Arabidopsis thaliana: one gene and its partners. The protein of the gene in region 4 interacts with the protein of the main gene of each other region in a pairwise test. Each region holds a gene or a part of one and is shown on either strand. Other genes may lie near its edges.

Region 1 (4,299 bases), on a different chromosome or scaffold from region 4:
TTTATTTCAAAAGATGCGTTTTTCTTACTTTTTACAACATGAAATCTTTTATTTTAAGGAAATTATAGTAACTAACCGTAGAATACAAAAGAATGAAAAAACTAACTATGGAGCAACGGGTCAGAGACAATTTTTATACATTTTTCATTTATATAACAATAACTCATTTATCATTAAATCATTTTTATAACAATAACTAGTAACCATAAAAAATATAAATACTTCTTGGATGTTAAGAAAAAAAAACAATTCTTCTTTTGACGAAAAAGACTTCTTAGGAAAGTTGTATACCTTTAAAATACATGCAAGTTATATGAAAGTTTATAAAATTCACAACTCTTCTTTATTTTAAAACCCAAAAAAAAAAAAAAAAAAAAAGTCCTCTTATTTATACGTCTAATTCCCATGCATATATCGAGAATAACCCATCATATAGGAATTAGGCTCCCATCATGTGATCATGATTCATGAGTCATGACCATTGGATCTCCCCTCATTATTGTTCCATCAGAAATTTCTACGTCGATGATATGTTTCTAATTCTAATTTTTTTTACAGCAATTTCTAATTCTAATTAAGAACTCTCCCATATACAAATTGATATAGATATCTTTTAGTAAGTTAGTAACAACACTTAATTAAACATAGATAAATATACGTGCACAGATCAATTCTCCAGTTTAAGGAAAGAAATTGGATAGATGTATTTAAATACTTTTGTATAAATAATATAACTATCTCCAATACAACACACCGAATCAAATGTCAACATCTACATACATGTCGACATGAATTTATGAACATATATGTACAAGGTGATGGGGAACCCACAAATTAGGTGTGTGGCTTTACTTTTTTTAGTGTATGCATGTATAGTATGATAGGGAGGGAAATAGCTGATCATCATCTTCTATGGACTTAGTCCAAATTCATCACATCAAAAGGCAACGACCATGTCTTTGTTTCTAACAACTTTACACCCTCCCCTTTCCTTATCTACTAACTCCATGTATCTGCTTTAAAGGTTAATATATAACTGGACTAAGCAAAATAAAAGAGAGTTGGGTTTTCATTATAGAATCGAGAAGATTTCATGTCCCTATATCAATCACATAAAGCGTTTTCCAATAACATAAAAAGTCGGATAAATGAAAATATTTGAGAATCTAAAACAATGTCATATATACTTTAATGGAAGGTCCTTTTCTTCGAAATATTTGCTCACCGAAATCGGTGAAAGTGATCTAAGACTAAAACTAACTTGTGAGTAATTCATGTGATGGGCCTTCTGCATCGAAAAAGAGCATGGCGATCACGTGGCAGCCTCTCTTGCGCCGTCTCAGTATTAGCCTATCACGATAGAGTAAGCCAATGTATACAGCATGGCGATCAGACACATGATGATGATCGATCTGAATAACAAGATTCCGAAGGATGTAATAAATTCATGTGAACAGTGCTTCGTAGCTAAACTAAGACCAGAGCTATTGAAATGAGGTAAAGTGTTTTCTTTGTAACCCCATTTTAATTAGGTGAAATATCTAGCGCACACACCAATCTGATTCATATAATCATAACTAGCTTGTAAACTACAAAATTATTTTTCATTGTGTTACAACTAGACCATTCCCACGTGACCATTCACGTGCTCCTATAATGAAAGAAACCTAAAGAAGAGACGCTCCAATTCGCATAGACATCCCAAGCTTATCCTTTCTTAGTGAATCAAGATCCAATTTACACTATAATACATGCATATATTACGTAATAAATGTTTTATAAGTTTTCTGTGTCACTCACTATTTTTAGTTATTTTCTCAATTTTCAATCATCGCAAATATCAATTATCACAAAACATATAAAGTTTCCAGATTTGTATATGGGCCTACCTTATTAGATGCGATGAATATGGACTAAGTACAGAGCTGATGGTTTTTGTTATAAATATCGTTTCCTCTTCTACCCTCACCTTTACTCTGTTTCTTTCTCCACTCTCTCTCTCTCTCGTTGCAAGCAACTTGTTTTCTGAATCCAAAGAAGACGATAACGATGAATGGAGCTATAGGAGGTGACCTTTTGCTCAATTTTCCTGACATGTCGGTCCTAGAGCGCCAAAGGGCTCACCTCAAGTACCTCAATCCCACCTTTGATTCTCCTCTCGCCGGCTTCTTTGCCGATTCTTCAATGATTACCGGCGGCGAGATGGACAGCTATCTTTCGACTGCCGGTTTGAATCTTCCGATGATGTACGGTGAGACGACGGTGGAAGGTGATTCAAGACTCTCAATTTCGCCGGAAACGACGCTTGGGACTGGAAATTTCAAGAAACGGAAGTTTGATACAGAGACTAAGGTTCGTGTGTAAAGAAAACTTAAGTTTAAGTTCTATAAATGAAAAAGAAAACAGATCTTACTTTGAGATTTGGCTTATCTGTTTCTTCTGTGTGTGCTTTTAGGATTGTAATGAGAAGAAGAAGAAGATGACGATGAACAGAGATGACCTAGTAGAAGAAGGAGAAGAAGAGAAGTCGAAAATAACAGAGCAAAACAATGGGAGCACAAAAAGCATCAAGAAGATGAAACACAAAGCCAAGAAAGAAGAGAACAATTTCTCTAATGATTCATCTAAAGTGACGAAGGAATTGGAGAAAACGGATTATATTCATGTTCGTGCACGACGAGGCCAAGCCACTGATAGTCACAGCATAGCAGAACGAGTAAGAGAGCCTCATTAACTAAAATTCATTAACTTTGTTTTTTGTGTAATCATTGAGACTAATTATTAAAGTATTAAATTTGTGAAGGTTAGAAGAGAAAAGATCAGTGAGAGAATGAAGTTTCTACAAGATTTGGTTCCTGGATGCGACAAGATCACAGGCAAAGCAGGGATGCTTGATGAAATCATTAACTATGTTCAGTCTCTTCAGAGACAAATCGAGGTCTGAAAATTATTTCCATTTATAGAAAATATGTTTTAAAGACTAATTTTGCATTACCTTCCTAATTTGTTATCAAAATATTGTTTAAAACAGTTCTTATCGATGAAACTAGCAATTGTGAATCCAAGGCCGGATTTTGATATGGATGACATTTTTGCCAAAGAGGTTAGTCATTGATTTGTTTATGCTTATATGAAAAACAAAACTTTAAAGGCTATTTATAGATGAGCTAAAATACGCCATGTGGATTCAAAACCAGGTTGCCTCAACTCCAATGACTGTGGTGCCATCTCCTGAAATGGTTCTTTCCGGTTATTCTCATGAGATGGTTCACTCTGGTTATTCTAGTGAGATGGTTAACTCCGGTTACCTTCATGTCAATCCAATGCAGCAAGTGAATACCAGTTCTGATCCATTGTCATGCTTCAACGTAAGTCATATTTTTAATACTCTTTCATTATGATCTATCCTTTAGTTTAACTTTGGATATGATAATTTTTTACTAAATATGTTTTGATTGTTACAGAATGGCGAAGCTCCTTCGATGTGGGACTCTCATGTGCAGAATCTCTATGGCAATTTAGGAGTTTGATTAAGAAACCAATCCACAACATAACAATGTTCCCTAATTCAAATTATTCATCGGAAGAGAGAGCAAACCAGTAGCTGTTATTTACTAATTCCACTAGATTATTGACTTGAGATCCCCCGCCCATTAGTTGATGTATCAAAGAGTGTAGACATTATTGTGTATAATTTGCAAACCAGTCCAGTAATATATTTCTTATCGGTGGACTTGTGTCTTTAATTCAAGGTGTGTTCTCATCTTCTTGTGGTGAATGATCATCCATTAGTATTTTTTTTTTTAGTATACAATGCCACAAGTCATGCGACCATGAAATCAAGAAACAAGACACCAGTCGTTTAACGTTATGTTTTACATCTTATCACTAACAATCTTCTAATCTATGTTTTGGTTACTTTGAAAAAGCGGGACTAATCCCAAATTTAAAGCAATTGAATAAACAACACCTGTTAAGCGTGGCGGACAAAACGACGACAATGTAAGAGAACTGAGTCAGAGATTAAAACCTATGACCAACCCATTGGAACTAAACTATCCTAATTCTCTATACGGAGAGTATATATAAATGGAGGAGGAGAAGAAGAAGAGCAGAGTTTTGATCATCGGAGCAACAGGAAGATTAGGGAACTATTTGACCCGTTTCAGCATCGAATCGGGTCACCCGACTTTCGCTCTCATCAGAAACACCACTCTCTCCGATAAGCTGAAATCTCTCTCCGACGCCGGCGTTACCCTCCTCAAAGTCTCTCTCTTTGCAATATCTCTGTAATTTCCT
Region 2 (3,603 bases), on a different chromosome or scaffold from region 4:
TTATGGAGAACGGTAAGTATTTCTACGACACAAGAGGTAGGAATTCAGAAAACACCCCTAGTCGCGGGTATGAGAATGCTCGAGGAAATGATCATACCAACGAGTTTGAAACTATGGAGGAATACTACAAGAGCTTGGAGGGTAGTCAAGAAGAGTATGAGCCTTAGAAGGAAATTGTATTTGAGAAAACAAAACACTTTTTTGGAGCAATTAATTATATTGTGCAATCTCCATTTACTTGTCTTTTATGAAAAGTGAAAGTAAAAACACTTTTAAGTTATACAAATCAAAGCTGTGAGTTATATTATGTTTATGCTAAAATTTTTTAACGTTTATCTTAATCTCAATTTATGACCATGATTAATACCAGCGACGAGTATGTGTTAAAAATAGAATCAAAAGACCAATAATACCAATTTAAGAGAACTATGCAAGACCAAAACTACACCATCATAATCTCAAAAGTAATCATAACTGAATATAATCTCAGTGACCTAGAGAGTTCTCTGAAAATTTAAATTAAATAATAACGAAGAGAAGTAGAGACAGACACCGGTTGTAGTCATTAAGCAGTAATTACTTCATACTCGACCAGAGAGAGATTGTTGGCCCGGTTAACCTCGAACGAAACAGGACCGGTTATTTCAATGCGTCCCCATCTGTCAACAGCCATTCTCATAGTGTCCTTGAACAAGTCGATCTTCGCATTCCTCAGTATAACTGTTGCTCCAGTCTTCATTAGATCAACTGCATTTGCAACCCCAAAAGAACATCATTAATTAGTACCATACATATTCTCACATATTGAATAGGAAGTTGTATAAATGTCAAACACAAACACACTAATCAAAGCTTAGAGATTAATGAAGTGGAACATATTGAACACTAATCAAAGCTTAGACATATATAAATAGATATACTCTGTTCATCAATAAACTAAACTATAAGCAAAATTATCTATAAAAAAAGTTAAACTTTATCAAAATCTCTGAAGTATAAATGTTTTAGATCTTCACAAACATAGAGATTCCAATCAAGGCATATATAAACCTAGAAACAGAGAAATTATGGAAAGATTGAACGCAATTTCGAGTGAAAACGATAGAGAAACGATTACGAAACCCTAACCAAGAGAACTTATATATGTAAATAATTAAGATCCTTACCTTGGTCGTTGCGAGCGGTGAAAAGAATGCATCCAGTATCGTCACCAATTAGGCACTCAGCGATACGAGGAGATGAAATTGGCTGCTGCGTCAACGAACTTTTACGAATCGCCGGTTTAACGGGATTCGATTCAAGGACTTTGACGATCAGAGTATGGCCGCTGGTTCCTGGTTTGAGCTGATCCACCTTCACAAACACTGGTTTACGCTTCGGCGCAGTCGTCGCGTTAGTATTCGCCGTCGTCGACATAGTGTCGTAATTTGAATCTCCTTAGGGTTTTTCAAAATAATTGACAACTTTGACGTGATGAAGAGTCGCGCTGGTAGATTAGGGTTTAGATTCTTCACAATGGTATTTAAATGAGAAAATTAGAAACAAATCTTACTCTGGATTATTATCTAAATTACTGGATTATAAATTACCACTAATTCATTTTTTGCGATTTTTAAAACGGTATACATTTTATTGGCGCGTTCAAAATTTGAAACTTAAACTCATTATATTTTCATATTATGCTTAATATTAGTCGAATTTTCTTTTTTTGACATCCAATATTAGTCTAAGCAGATTGTGGAGTAATAATAAATCATCAAATTTTGTTATAATGTAGCAATGTATCATCTACTCAATTTTTATGTATTATAACTTTTGTATCAAAGAATACAATTTTAGATTCATCAAGCTTTCTCGAAGTATATATTCGACATGGATAATTTCTAAGTACTTGTTTATCAGATTCTCAGATAAAATATGAAAAAGCCCAAAGATAATAACCTGTTAAAGCCCAAGCAACAAATGGCGCAAAACTGCGAGACGCAAGAACGGGGACGTTTAGGTTAAAACATAAAAAGGCGTCATAAAACTGTTTTCTCTTTAAGGCGGCGCGTCAGTCAATCCACGTGGACATTTCTTTCCACATTTTTGTCACTTTGTCCTTTTGTGGGATTACGTCACTTCTATAAAACAATAGTTTTGTCCTTTATCTAAATTATTCTCCCCCAACCAAAATATGACCACAGAAAAAGAGAATGTCACTACGGCCGTGGCCGTGAAAGACGGCGGAGAAAAGAGTAAGGAAGTGAGTGACAAGGGCGTAAAGAAGAGAAAGAATGTAACTAAGGCCCTGGCCGTGAATGACGGCGGAGAAAAGAGTAAGGAAGTGCGTTACAGGGGTGTAAGGAGGAGACCATGGGGGAGATATGCTGCGGAGATCCGTGATCCGGTAAAGAAAAAACGGGTCTGGCTCGGGTCCTTCAACACGGGGGAGGAAGCCGCCAGAGCCTACGACTCCGCTGCCATAAGGTTTCGAGGATCGAAAGCTACTACTAACTTCCCTCTAATCGGATACTATGGGATTTCTTCGGCGACGCCGGTGAACAACAACCTTTCCGAGACGGTGAGTGATGGAAATGCCAACCTCCCTCTCGTTGGAGACGATGGGAATGCTTTGGCTTCTCCGGTGAACAACACCCTTTCCGAAACGGCGCGTGATGGAACACTTCCATCGGATTGTCACGACATGTTATCTCCGGGGGTGGCTGAAGCGGTTGCTGGATTTTTCTTAGATCTGCCTGAAGTTATTGCGTTGAAAGAGGAGCTTGATCGAGTTTGTCCTGACCAGTTTGAGTCCATTGATATGGGGTTGACTATTGGTCCTCAAACCGCCGTGGAAGAGCCTGAGACTTCCTCCGCCGTGGATTGTAAGCTGCGAATGGAACCGGATCTTGACCTCAACGCAAGTCCCTAAAGATTGATCTGATGTTGTTGTCCTTGAATAAGTTTGTTATCTTGTCGCTCTTCTGATTGTCTGTACTTCTATTGGTTGATTCGTGCTTTTGGAGGACAAAACAAACATTTTTTTATGTATTAAAAAAAGGTAATTGAACTATTATCGTATCATAACCTAGCCAATGGATTTCGTGTTGACGTGGGGGATAAAGAAGTATTGGTGTCAGGTGGGTCGCACGTGTGTTTTTCGCCGTCCACAGTGACACGTGGAATACAACTTATCTCACTACTTACCTTTTTTACTCACGCGCTCTCTTTTACGGTGATATACACTAGCTCCTTGAATTAGTTATAACTTATAAGAGCAAAGGTAAATATCAAATGAGAGAAAGAAAAACATCTGTGACAATGATTGTATTTAATACCCCAGTAACAAACTGATCCAAAATCAAGATTCTCTTGATAAACAGAAATATGTATGTTTCATCACTTTGTTTATAGCAATGAGTATAGAGTCCACCAAAAGGAGTATATATGTTCATAGATCCCATACATGCATGTATGTGCTCATATATTATAATATTATGTAGTCAACACGTCTCGATATGTACATCTGTCGATGACATACACATGCCTCATATGAAAGCTACTAGCTTTCGTGTGGTGTCCAAAGAAGAACAATTGGAGAACTTGTCGCACCTTTTTATA
Region 3 (2,828 bases), 1.5 Mb from region 4:
TGCACTAGAGATTTTACCTCTAATTACAAGAGAGATTTAAAAGGCAAAGAGAAAATCTGAAAGCCGTGGTTAAGTTATTCATTAAGACAATCCATCAAAGAAACCATGAGTTTCAGTTGCGAAAGTGTGTTGGACAGCCTCAGGTACCAGTTGCGATTTACGAAATGTGTTGAAAGTGTGTTATAGTCCCCTTTTTCCTTCTCAGGTAGCTAATAACCAATCAATATCTTTGCTTTTGAAGGAAAGACAGGTCGTCGCACCATCCAATCTACGTGCTTCAGATCTTCTCTGGTGACGGATTCGTGCTCCTTCTCAATCCTCATCAACTTGTTTAACGTGTGCGCTATTCCCTCCGGCTCAGTGAGAGATTGCAGTTTCTCGAACATGCATGATTCTCTTCTTCTCCATCCTCCTATTTTCCACTTTTGTCTTCGCAAGTACATCAACCCTGATCGATGTCGGAGCATACTCCGTTGTACAGACCCTTTTCAAGAGATGGCTACTAGAACCAATGATACGGCGGAAGTTCATCGTCAATCCAAGCTCTCAAAGTTCACTAACCCTAATTATAATACATATAGCTTTCTTCTTATCTCCAATTAATGTGCTATTTATAAAAATGTTTACAAAGTTTATAAACCTTGATTACATAGATGTTCAATATCATAAGTTTAATCCAATCTGTATATTTTAATGCTGAAAAGATAGCTAAGAAACTATATAGATTTTAATTTGGTATGTTAGAGTTGAATATCTTGTTTAAACCTTGACTATACATAGATGTTCATTATCTTAAGTTTAATCCAATCTGTCATACTAAGCCATGTATATCACAAGAAAGTCTGAAAATGTGCTATATGTCATAGTAAAATTATTAAGTTAATGCTTTTTTGATGTGAGAATCAGCATTATAGATTTGATGGTAAAATGCTTCCATCAGTTTCTCTACTCTTATTAAAAGGTAGCCAAATTTAGTTTAATTACTTACTTTTAATATATATTTTCATTATGTTGATATGAAAATAATTTTATTTTTATTACCTCCAAAGTGATGTATATGAAAATAAATAAAATTGCAAGCAATGGAAAACAATAGAAAACTTAAAGGTAAATATTTTATTTAAGAGTTGAGATAATTATGTACTAAAAGTTTACTACATAATGACACTAATTAAATCTTTAATTCTTGTTTTCTAAAGTTGACTACATTAAGATCTACTAATTAACTCTTTAAACTCTTCTAAATAATTTTGTTTTCAACTATATCTCAAATTTAATAGGGCAAAACCAAAATCTCCCTACTCACTTTGGAAATCAGTAATGTTTGGAACTAATTTTGACTAAATATGCTAAATGCAACAAGTATTAATTCAGAAACAAATTTACTACGCAAATTCGGCAAATGTAAAATGTCAAATATATATAGTAATTAAACATGTTATGTGTGAGTTGTCGAAATGATAAACTAGTTTGTTAAGTACTTCAGTTAGTCTTTGTTCTTCATCATGTTTCTCTATAACTAAGTCCCTTTCCATATTTCATCAATATGCATTTATCTTATTCAAACATCATAACATTACAACATATAACTTTCCTTGATATTAAAAGTGCATACAAAGTATTAAATCTTTAAATACCTATCCGGGTGCAATAACATATTCAAGCCATCAAACCTAATTTCTAAAAGCCCGATCCGATCGACAACGAAATGTTGTCCTCGGACTCGAATTACGCTAGTGATATTAGCGACGATGCCTCCGCCACCGGATCGATAGAGAATCCTATATACAAATGCAAGTATTGTCCTAGGAAGTTCGATAAAACACAAGCATTAGGTGGTCATCAAAATGCACACAGAAAGGAGAGAGAGGTCGAAAAACAACAAAAAGCATTTTTGGCGCATTTGAACCGACCAGAACCAGATCTTTACGCGTACTCGTATTCGTATCATCATTCATTTCCTAACCAATACGCACTCCCACCGGGATTTGAACAGCCTCAGTACAAAGTTGATAGATCATACAAGATGTCCATGGTCTACAACCAATATGTGGGATCCTCAAGCTCTAGCTTTGCAGGACTACAAAGTGACCCAAGTCAAGGAATGAACCAGGATTGGACCTTTACCGGGATCCCATTCCTACCCCAATCTCAACCTCAACCACTATCGTCACCAATATGTTTGGATCTTTGCCTTGGCATTGGTAGCTCCCAAACCCAACCACAACCTCAAGAACCAAATGATGCAACAGAAGAGATGGATGCTGAGAAAGAAAATGATGGTTCTTCCCTTTCTCTCTCACTCAAACTGTGAAATTGTAATCTTTCCCTTTTAAGTATTTCTTAAACTTTCATTCCTCACCTTTGTTTTCTTGCATAGTATTATCGGCTTGTGTCAAATCAGTACTTGTGCACTTGAACATTGTAATAAACTTGGTTGTTATTTGCATTTGAATTTCATATAATAATAAAAACTTGATATTGTTCTGACTTTGGGGTGTCAAATTCTATTTATAAGAATTTGAGATGCAAATCTCAATTTTAGTTACTTTATGATACCAATATAAAAAAAAAAACCACTCTTTCGAAAGGATGCGGGTTTTGAAATACTTTCGAGCTCCTTCTTCTCTCCGTCATCGTTCCTCTCCCATGGCTCAGTTTCTTCGACGCTTCTCTTCCTCTCCCATGGCGAACGAAGACGAATTCCAATCTCCGGTGGAACCATCACAGCAGCAATCTCAGGACTGTGTTTCGGAGTCTTATCTGATAGGGTTTGTTATCGCGAACATAGTAGGGTTAAAGTACTATTCCGGCCGAATCAACGGTCG
Region 4 (4,408 bases):
AAATCTGAGCCAGTAACTCTGGGCTGTTTTAACAATCTCTATAGAAGTGTTGTGGACATGGGCAGTGATTGTTTTGAGACTGAAGCTTGTAAGCAGATGCTTGTGTATCCGAAGAGTGTGAAAGACCTCCAGTGCAAAAGGCTTAAGCTCAACATAAACCCTACTGAGGACATCAAGTGTTTTAAGTGCTCAAGTTACTGCGGCTTGTACAGTAATTTCAGCACCTCTAAATGTCGTTGCGGAAAATTTATGAACGAGGAGATTCAGTTAGAAAACGAGGAACAAGATTTAGGCCGGTTTCAAGATGATGATAATGGAGTATTTGTCAGCGGTAGGTGTTCATTCGTCTTAACCGATGACTTGGAAGTGTCAGTCAAGTCCACTGAACTTGTCTTGAATAAGCTCAAATCCTTAGGTTGTGCTGATGTTGGTAAGCTCGGTGAAAGGCTTCTTGATATTGGTGTGAAAGAGGTATGTTAGTTAGTTTATTCTTCAAGCGTTTGTGTTATCATTACTTTATTAGTTCTCTCTTACTATATCTGAATCTTGGACTAGGTACTGACTCTGCTGGGATGTATATTCTCCTCAAATGCTCCCTTAAAGGACATTTTCTTGAACAAGAAGATTACACAAGGTGCGACGAAGTTTTACAAATCGCAAAGTCCATGTTTGGAGAAAAAAGAAGATGAAGCAGAACCTGAAAAGGTAGTAACTTTGAAAGCATTTGTGAGGAAGCAGGACATGAAGATTTTATTTGTTGAATGCGGAGAGGAATTTGTTGAGCTTCTTTTCTCTTTTATTGCTGTCCCGCTTGAATCTGCATGGGAAATCTCTGGCAGCAGTATCTCCTTAGGTTGCATAGGAAACATGTGTAGAACCTTCAGGGACTTAAATGAGGAGACTCAAATGTCAACTTCCACATGCGCACTTCCGTCTTTCTATAATTTCCAGATGCAACTGCCTGGTATTATCACTCAACAACCTCCGGTGTACTACCGTTACAGGCTCTACGATTACAGGCAAATGAACTATGGTTTGACTACAAACGGTAATCGAACTACTTATTACCGCAAAGACAGAATCGTTCGGGTGGATTTGAAGGATCCCAAATCCCGTGGCAGCGATAAGTCTGCTCAGGGGTTCTTGAAGAAAGCGACAAAGTGTACTGTATTAGATGATCTGACCATTACATCTATGAACTCCTGCTCCACAGTTTGTTTACTAAAGAAGTTGCAGAGTCACGCAGACGATCTAGAGGTGCAAGTAATTAGTATCAGCAATGCAGAGGTATGTTTCTGTATACCCTTTTTGATCCTGTATTCTTGAAAGGAACTTGACTGACACTTGATTTTGAATTAGGCTTTGGATTTGTTGAGAGCTTCCTTGGTGACATCCTCTGCTTTGAGCACGACATTATGGAATTTGATTGCTAAGAAACTGAAGGAGGAGACTGATTTATGGGACACGGTTTCAAAGAAAGTGAAGGAAGAGACTTGAAGAAATAGAAAGCTAGTGAGAATGAACTCTAAGTCGATTGTTGATTATGTTTTTAGAATTCCGCAAAATCTACATTACATTCCTCATGTTTTCTTCCAAGCCTTATCTTTCTTTGTAAGACTAATCAAATTATTGTTTTATGGAAATTCATCTTAATAGGGTTTTTTAAATGCAGGCAAAAACTTGCACATCTTTTTGAGTTTATAAAGCAACAAGCCTAAAATCTGGAATTTCCTAGTACGATAAGACTGAAATATACAACCATTACCAAAAAAAATGCATCCATATACAAAAGTTTATAATAAGATCCAGTTGGTATATAGTAATTGGGAATGTTGAAGACATATGAAGTGTTGATCAGAAAAAAATAAGACTTGAAGTTAATTAATGGAAACCCTCTTTCTCAGCCAGAAGACTTGAAGGCTTCTATTCTCCTCCGTTGCCCACAAAAACAAAATTTGCTTCGCCGTTTTCGGCTCCGGCGTGATTCTTGAGAAGAACTGAAGTAGAGAGAGAGATCTGAAATCTCAATCTCCGATTTAACTTGGTAACTAGAGAAGCTTTTGATTCCTATTCTTTCTTTTGATTTGTATTTCTTAGGGTTCCGTTCATGTAACTTTTACAGCGACAATGCTTCAAATTCGTCTTCGGAGGGATTCCCCGACGGAAACTGGAAATGGTGCGAGGCCTTCTCCGACGGAGACGGTTACTGTAGCCTGTCCCGACCATCTCGTCCTCGCCGATCTTCCTGTTGCGAAAGGAATCGGTTCCGTGACTCCCACCACCGTAATCAAGCCCGTCGGTCGTCGTTCTCGCCGTCAGCTAGGCGAGAGAGTTCACTTCTGCGTTCGTTGCGATTTTCCGATTGCAATCTATGGTCGTCTGGTAAAAAACTTCGCTTCCTTCATTGGTTTATGGCTATATTGATTTGCCTTAAAGAGTTTTTTTAAGGGGGCTCTTCTTCTATATGTGATTGAAACTTTTTTTGTTTTGTTTTGGTTTTGCAGATTCCTTGTGATCATGCCTTTTGCCTTGAATGTGCTCGCAGTGATTCCATCTGCTATCTGTAACCATCTTTAACTCTCATCGAATTTCATTAGAAGCTTTGATAGAGATACTTTAGATTGTTTGGTAATCTACAGAGACGCAGGATTATCATAGTTTGAACTAGGCTTCGAATTTCATTAGAAGCTTTGATAGAGATATTCTAGATTGTTTAGTAATCTACAGAGACATTTTAAGATTTACTAGGCGTAGCGATTATCAGACTGAAATCTTGTTGTCTCTTGTGTGTGTGATTACTGCACAGATGTGATGAGCGGATTCAGAAGATTCAAACAATCAAGATGATGGAAGGGATCTTCATCTGTGCAGCTCCTCATTGTCTTAGGTCTTTCCTGAAGAAACTTGACTTTGAAGCCCATGTCCATGACCTCCATGGAAGCCTATTACAAGCCGATGCAGAGAAAGAAGATGGTAACCAGTCAGATGTTCAGAGCACAATGCAGCAGTCTTCAGCTTCAGAATCCACCTTGCGAGCTCCTTTAAGATCCCAGCTGCAACAATCCCGTGAACTAAACAGGTCGGCGTCATTTGCAAAGTCACAGTCTGGATTTAGTCAAGTCCAGAATTACCCTCCAGATAGCGATAACTCTCGCCCTCCTGGATTCGAAACCGCTAGTCCTAAACCAGGAATCCGGTTCCCAGACTACCCCCAGCCTATGAATCTTATGCAACCGCCCAGCTTGCCCGTTCCAATGAATCAAAACCCGGGTTTACCACAGCAGTTTGGTTTTCCTTCGTATCCAACAACAGAGAGTGGATCATCTCAACAATTCTTTAACGGTGCTCAGTACGAGATGACAAGAACAGAGAGCGGCGGATCAGAACAAAGTTCATTGCTCGGGTATCCCCCGCCTTCACCAATGACGAATCTGAATTTCCAAGGATCGTATCCTCCTCCATCATGGAATCCCGGAATGGCACCGCCTCACACGACCCAGCAGGTTAACCGGGGTAGAGACGGTCAAAGTTTTGGGTGGCCACAAGAGAACCGTGATGGCTTTGGGCAGGAGTAAGAGTAGTCTAGTTTGAATTTGTGCAATGTTAAACTCGTCGTTTGAAAGTTTCAAGTACTTTTGTTTCTAAAAACTGTGTCGTTTGTTGTTGGTCTAACATGTAATTCGAGTAAACCCAATTTCAACCGAGCCAAAACCGTGCCAAAAATTCCATCGGAAAAACCAAACTGATTTGGGTTGAACCAAAGGTTTTACACCATTTTATAGGAACAACCATCGTAGATTGCACCCACTGTGTCACTGTGATAAAGAAAGAACTAAGATTGATATTTTGGTTTTTAGCTCTTTTTCTTTACTGTTTTGGGAGGATGATGATGATGGTTATTATATGAGTTGAGATTTTTTCTAAACACCGCCGATGATCTCACTAATCTTAGGCACAGCTATGCTTACAGACAATATTTCACAGTCTCTTTATTGGGATTCCTTCACTCTACATATGTATTCACTATTCAGCACCAAGTTCAAATTTCTGTAAGCATTTATTCTCTAGCATAAACACACACGAAAATATACTATTAGCTAGTTAAGTATAAAATTATCAAATAACTTATTCATATTTGTTAGTTTTAAACTAGAAATCATGTGAATTGAACTGAACCAGTTATTGATAAGTGTGTGGCTATGAGAAATTTCGTTTCAAATGGATTCTCCAATTATGAACCATAATGATACATAACAATATTTGCAAGACACCATTATTTCACATTATGAGAATAGAAGAAAACTGAGATCTAAGACACTTTTTCCCATGTTTTCTATGAATTATTACGATCCCCATATAAATTTTCAAAATGTAAAAGCTATAATCATTGTCGTAATTTTCATGATTA

The links.
Region 1: the proteins of AT5G01160 (region 4) and CIB1 interact in a two-hybrid assay, tested with the Arabidopsis thaliana proteins (one large-scale study listed by BioGRID).
Region 2: the proteins of AT5G01160 (region 4) and ERF10 interact in a two-hybrid assay, tested with the Arabidopsis thaliana proteins (one large-scale study listed by BioGRID).
Region 3: the proteins of AT5G01160 (region 4) and AT5G05120 interact in a two-hybrid assay, tested with the Arabidopsis thaliana proteins (one large-scale study listed by BioGRID).

What each region holds. Positions count from the first base shown.
Region 1 is NC_003075.7:16,496,417-16,500,715, forward strand, and holds CIB1 (cryptochrome-interacting basic-helix-loop-helix 1), read left to right. Parts: upstream 1-1,974; 5' UTR 1,975-2,049; coding exon 2,050-2,352; intron 2,353-2,455; coding exon 2,456-2,716; intron 2,717-2,803; coding exon 2,804-2,938; intron 2,939-3,031; coding exon 3,032-3,103; intron 3,104-3,197; coding exon 3,198-3,368; intron 3,369-3,464; coding exon 3,465-3,530; 3' UTR 3,531-3,758; downstream 3,759-4,299. Other genes in the region: AT4G34540 (NmrA-like negative transcriptional regulator family protein), read left to right, coding at 4,090-4,266. UniProt on the Arabidopsis thaliana protein: Transcription factor that binds DNA to G box 5'-CACGTG-3' and, to a lower extent, to E-box 5'-CANNTG-3' in vitro. Binds to chromatin DNA of the FT gene and promotes its expression, and thus triggers flowering in response to blue light.
Region 2 is NC_003070.9:956,572-960,174, reverse strand, and holds ERF10 (ERF domain protein 10), read left to right. Parts: upstream 1-1,791; 5' UTR 1,792-2,176; coding exon 2,177-2,914; 3' UTR 2,915-3,071; downstream 3,072-3,603. Other genes in the region: AT1G03820 (E6-like protein), read left to right, coding at 1-167; AT1G03810 (Nucleic acid-binding, OB-fold-like protein), read right to left, coding at 566-747, 1,167-1,416.
Region 3 is NC_003076.8:1,509,524-1,512,351, forward strand, and holds AT5G05120 (C2H2 and C2HC zinc fingers superfamily protein), read left to right. Parts: upstream 1-1,708; coding exon 1,709-2,314; downstream 2,315-2,828. Other genes in the region: AT5G05113 (uncharacterized protein), read right to left, coding at 210-467; AT5G05130 (DNA/RNA helicase protein), read left to right, coding at 2,593-2,828.
Region 4 is NC_003076.8:52,153-56,560, forward strand, and holds AT5G01160 (RING/U-box superfamily protein), read left to right. Parts: upstream 1-1,703; 5' UTR 1,704-2,044; exon of another isoform or gene 2,045-2,122; 5' UTR 2,123-2,127; coding exon 2,128-2,382; intron 2,383-2,504; coding exon 2,505-2,563; intron 2,564-2,806; coding exon 2,807-3,575; 3' UTR 3,576-3,900; downstream 3,901-4,408. Other genes in the region: AT5G01150 (hypothetical protein (DUF674)), read left to right, coding at 1-471, 556-1,287, 1,360-1,497. UniProt on the Arabidopsis thaliana protein: Probable E3 ubiquitin-protein ligase which is a subunit of the N6-methyltransferase complex, a multiprotein complex that mediates N6-methyladenosine (m6A) methylation at the 5'-[AG]GAC-3' consensus sites of some mRNAs.